Callithrix jacchus: one gene and its partner. The protein of the gene in region 1 purifies or fractionates together with the protein of each later gene. This does not show direct contact. Links are inferred from orthologs where the notes say so. Each region holds a gene or a part of one and is shown on either strand. Other genes may lie near its edges.

Evidence for each region. The genes of interacting proteins can lie anywhere in the genome.
Region 2: the proteins of MEX3C (region 1) and MYCBP2 purify together in Homo sapiens (affinity purification with mass spectrometry; 3 studies listed by BioGRID and IntAct, with this or other methods). This does not show direct contact. The link is inferred for Callithrix jacchus from reciprocal best matches to the Homo sapiens genes MEX3C and MYCBP2.

What each region holds. Positions count from the first base shown.
Region 1 is NC_133514.1:94,375,206-94,377,976, forward strand, and holds the end of MEX3C (RNA-binding E3 ubiquitin-protein ligase MEX3C), read right to left. Parts: coding exon 2,309-2,771; 3' UTR 502-2,308; downstream 1-501. UniProt on the Homo sapiens protein: E3 ubiquitin ligase responsible for the post-transcriptional regulation of common HLA-A allotypes. Binds to the 3' UTR of HLA-A2 mRNA, and regulates its levels by promoting mRNA decay.
Region 2 is NC_133502.1:38,262,212-38,264,390, reverse strand, and holds the end of MYCBP2 (E3 ubiquitin-protein ligase MYCBP2), read right to left. Parts: intron 1,334-2,179; coding exon 1,218-1,333; 3' UTR 502-1,217; downstream 1-501. UniProt on the Homo sapiens protein: Atypical E3 ubiquitin-protein ligase which specifically mediates ubiquitination of threonine and serine residues on target proteins, instead of ubiquitinating lysine residues.

The sequences.
Region 1 (2,771 bases):
TAAATGGAGAAATATTTTTGTCAACATTTCAGAGGTACTTTTACCTGAAAGGTAAACTGGTGCTTTTGTATTAGAAAAGAATCTTTTTTATAGATTTGGTGATAAAAAGACAAAAGTCCATAAACAAAGGATGCAAACCAAGTAGAATTTAGGTTGAATTCAGGATTTCAAGTAACAATGTATAAAAAAAGTCATTTACTATTTACAATTAGATCAGTAGTAGTTTGTGGTCAACTACGTAAACATGCAACTAAATCTATGACCAGCCAAATCTCCAATTTACTATAATGTAACACTCATTTAAAGAAAAAGTAAACTTGGACAGGAACATAAGCGACACATTCAAAACCAAGAACATACACACACACAAAATAACTACAAGAGTGAGCACAGATAGCTGGCTGGGAAACAGAGAGTCTATAAAAGGAAATTTTAAATTTAGTTAAATAACTAATCTTCTAAACTGCTAATGATTACATGAAAAACACCAAGGAGAATACATTCAAGTTAATGGAAACAAGTCTTTATTAAGTAACTTTTAATATCAGAAAAATAAAACTCTTATAATTCTCTTTACAGCAAATATATAATATCAGTGCTTTGGCCATCTTAAGTTAAAGGCCCTTTATCATAAAATATATGGTTTTAAATTTTACTCAAATTGAATTTATAATCCCTATGACTTCCCTACATATACATAACAAAAGAGTGTAGTAAAATTAGCAAATACTAAACTATATTGATAATTTATCATTCTTAGTTTGTGGTTTTTAGAAACAGTACACGCACCTAATATATGTCGATTCCTTGGCTTATTAGTTGCAGTGTACAATGCAACAAAATACAAAATACATGCTTGGTGAACATTCGTTCATATCTACAAGACGGCAGCTAGAGATTAAGTTTCAATACTGACATTTACTATCCTACAAGCAATTAGCATTTACATCATAATATGCCATCAAGGCAACTTTTTTTATACTGAAAAAATCAAAATAAAAACCGTTATTTGTAAACTTTTATACGAAATGTAACTCTTCAAGTGGAAATAAAAAATAAAATTTGTCTATTTACTATTGAATACACATAGGATTTCAATTTTCATTATACTGAGAAAAAAAGCTCTTTTGTGTTGGGAAAATAATGCTTCAAAAAATAATTAGTAGAAAAATCCACCAGTATAATGTTTTGTCCTTTCGATGCCAGCACAGATTTGGGAACATACTGAGGATGAAGTTATAGACATCCACAGGTGAAATGTACAAGTGTATTTTAAAGAAATCTTTCCTTGTGATTGGAAATAGTTTGGAAATGAAGTAAACTGATTGGAGGTTGTCACAGCTGCTTTTGTGAATTATGCCAAGGGCATCATTATCCCTTTCTCCCTCCTCCCTCCCCTAAATTACTAAAAAATAAAAATATATTTATAATGTGCAAGACAAATATGGATTGAACATAAAATGTTTCACATTTTGATCTATAGTCTAAAAATTAACAGCTCGATCAGACTAATGAATGGAATGTTCGCATCCTCAATTATTAGCAAATATAGGTGCCATCCCAAAGCCCTTCCTGATACGGGAAAACCCAGGTGGCCATTTCCACATTCATCAAGAGAGGCAATGGGCAGGAATTCACAACTGCATTCCTGATCCACTGATCACACCAGCCTTGAGCACTCTGGGCGAGATGAAGTCGATGTAGCAGTTTTTGTCCCAAATTATAACAAGTGATCTAGTAAACTGCCACCAGCCCTATTATTACCAATAAGTAATCACAATGCATTAAAAAGTTATTTGCAATCCTGCAGAATTAGGCATAAGTTGTTGTAAAATAACAAACAAACAAACCTGTTTTGTCAAAACTGGCAGTGTAAAGAAGGCAGCACTGGAAGTGTATGAGTCGTCTGTAATGCCAAGTACCCTCCCATAAACTCTTAAAGTGGTTAGGCTTTGGGACCCATTGTTTTGAAATCTTAAATGTATACACTTTTCTCATAGGCTCACACAACCTATGATTATCTTCACTCAGCCAAGTTGAACTTCAGCTTTAGCAATCTTATATAAGCTATGTCTCTGGGTCTACAGGATAGTATTAATAATTCAAACCAAACTAATAGACAAGAGACCACTTAGGTTTAGTGTTACCATAGCAGCCTTTTATAAGTTTACTAACAACTTTAGCCTAATCCCAATAAAGCCTGATAACAGTCATAAGAATTCTTTAGGAAGTTTACTGGGGGGTACCATTATACCCATGCCTTTACGAGTCCATATAGAGATATAGTATTTATGTAATATATATATAGTTAAGAGTGAATTTGGATTGCCTGAGTAACAGCTGTCTGGCAAACTGGACATGATGGCGTTCTCTTTTCACAGATCTTGTTGGCACATTCCATGCAGAAGAGGTTGTGGCCACATGGAACTAGGGCAGCAATAACCTCATTCTCAAAGCAAATCACACAGTCATGCTTTCGTCTTGATTCTGGAGGTGAGCTAGAGGTGGAACCACCATTGGAAGAGGAGTAACTATTGGTACCATTAGAAAAAGCAGGGATGTATATTGGAAGGCCAACATGGTTGCCTGTACTAGGTGGGTCGCTCCTAACCCTCCGAGCAAGTGGGTGTTCTATGCTCTCAGGAAATGTAGGAGACAGACGAGGAGTTGATGGCTGACTTCCTCTGCGCTGAGTCTTCATGTTACCAGAAGGATCACTCCCAAAGCCAGAGAGTGGGTTAACTGGTTCAAACGGAGTCCAGATAGTTTGA
Region 2 (2,179 bases), on another chromosome or scaffold:
CAGATGGTTTGAGCCTAGGAGTTTGAGACCAGACTGGGCAACACGGCAAAACCCCATCTCTACAAAAATTACAAAATTAACTGGGCATGGTGCTGGCACACGCCTACAGTCCCAGCTACTCAGGGGGCTGAGGCTGGATATCACTTGAGCTCAGGTGGAGGCTGCAGTGAGGTGAGATCATGCCACTGTACTCCAGCCTGGGTGACAGTGTGAGATCCTGTCTCATAAACAGATAGATAAAAGCTCACAATTCTGCTAGTTAAGATAGAATTTCCTAAATGTTTTCTTCTGTCTCGGTATGAATACGTCTACCTACGAATGTATATATATTCATGATTTCTGCCCAGGGTTTAAGATTCCAACACTAAACCTCATTACTATTCTTATTTTCCCTAACAGTTATGAAAATTATAATTATGTTAGTACATTTCTGAGGAAAACTGGACTTTTAGACCATAAAGGTATTAAATTTTGTTTCTCAAACAACACCTCCCACAGCGGTAGACTTTATCACTGTATAAAAATGTACAGTGGGTTTATTGACATGTACATTCCAATATGTTTACAGCTGCAAGATAATGAGGCACACTCAGTATTGCACTTCATTAAAATTTCAGGCTCAAACTTAACCTAGAAGTTTAAATGAAACTGCATTTGTAATTTAGTAATTCTTATACAGGACAAACATTGATATCTTTATATACAGTGTGATACTTATTACATTTGTATGCTGTCCTAACACAATTTTTTTTTAAATAACAGTCTAGGAAATAATCCAGAATATTCCTCTTTTTTATCCCCACCTGTGATGCAATTGTACAGGATTACAAAAAGGCAGTATACAATAAACAATGATTATTTTTCTTTTTTTGCTTGAAAGCCAGCATCATTCTTAGTCCACTGACATGGCGATTCTTTTATATCAATTATCTATAAATGTCCAATGCTTCACAGGCCAATGACGGTAATGGCCACATGCAAACACCTCACAAGGTTGATGTCATCTGTTCAAAAGAAGATAAACGAAAATAATGGAGAAACTTTTCATAGCAAGAATTATGTACAAAGTATTTGGCATCCTTCTTGCACTGTGAATGGTTCATTTTCATGGATGTAAAAATGGTCCCGTCCTTATCCTGAGCAGAGTTTTAACCTCACCGCATCCTCATGGGGGATGAAGACAACTTTTCTCTCTGTAGACAAAGGATCTGAGTTTTCTAAAAAGTGTGGGCATTTCTGCACACTCCACATCCCAGAGCAAACTCTTCCCCAGTGGGTGGGTGAACGACATGGAGTGGACATTCGGTTCCTTCTAACTGCTTGCCTTTGGGACCTGTATAAATTTGAAGGAGGCAAAGAAAAATAATGTTTTAAGAATACACACATATGAACCTCATATAAATATAAATCACTGATAGGTTATTCAAAGAAATAACATGACAGTGATTATACAAATATAAAATTTAGAAATTTTTCTTCTGATCACAAAAGTAAAAATATTCACTATAAAAAAATTCAATATAACAGACATATGGAAGAAGTGATGGAGTCTCTTACTCACTATTATCCTGCCTAGGGAGAATCATTATGAACTACAGATCTTTTTCTATCAATAAATGCATCAGATATATCATATTAAAAGAAAGAGCAATGAACAAAAAAAGTCACAAAAAAACCTTAATTTAGTCTGGCAGAACATTATTTTTCTGAATAGAAAACAGGGAGATTTTTGTGTAGAATGTTTTTCTGTAAGTAAAAACAAATTTAAGTTTAAAGAAGCCATGTTTCCCTTTTATCTTTACTGATGAAAAAGCACACACTGGTAAAATGGGAAGGCCAATTATCTGTGTACTTTTAAAAATTACACAAATATAAACAATATTTGAGCATAAATTTTGAACATTTATTTGAATATTTGAACATAATATTTTGAACATTGTTAAAAAATATGAACAATATTATAAAATACAATGTGGAAGAAACACTTTGGGAAAGATATAAATTTGTTAATAATCAAAGTAGGTCTATAAAATGTACTAAAAACAGCATTTTAAAAAAGAAATGTGTTATATTAATGTGTTTCACATCATGGGTTTCCTATCATTTAAAAAAGATTTTTAGTTTCTTTAGAAACAAGGAGCCTTACTTGGTAATAACAGAAAAACACACCAGGCTTATA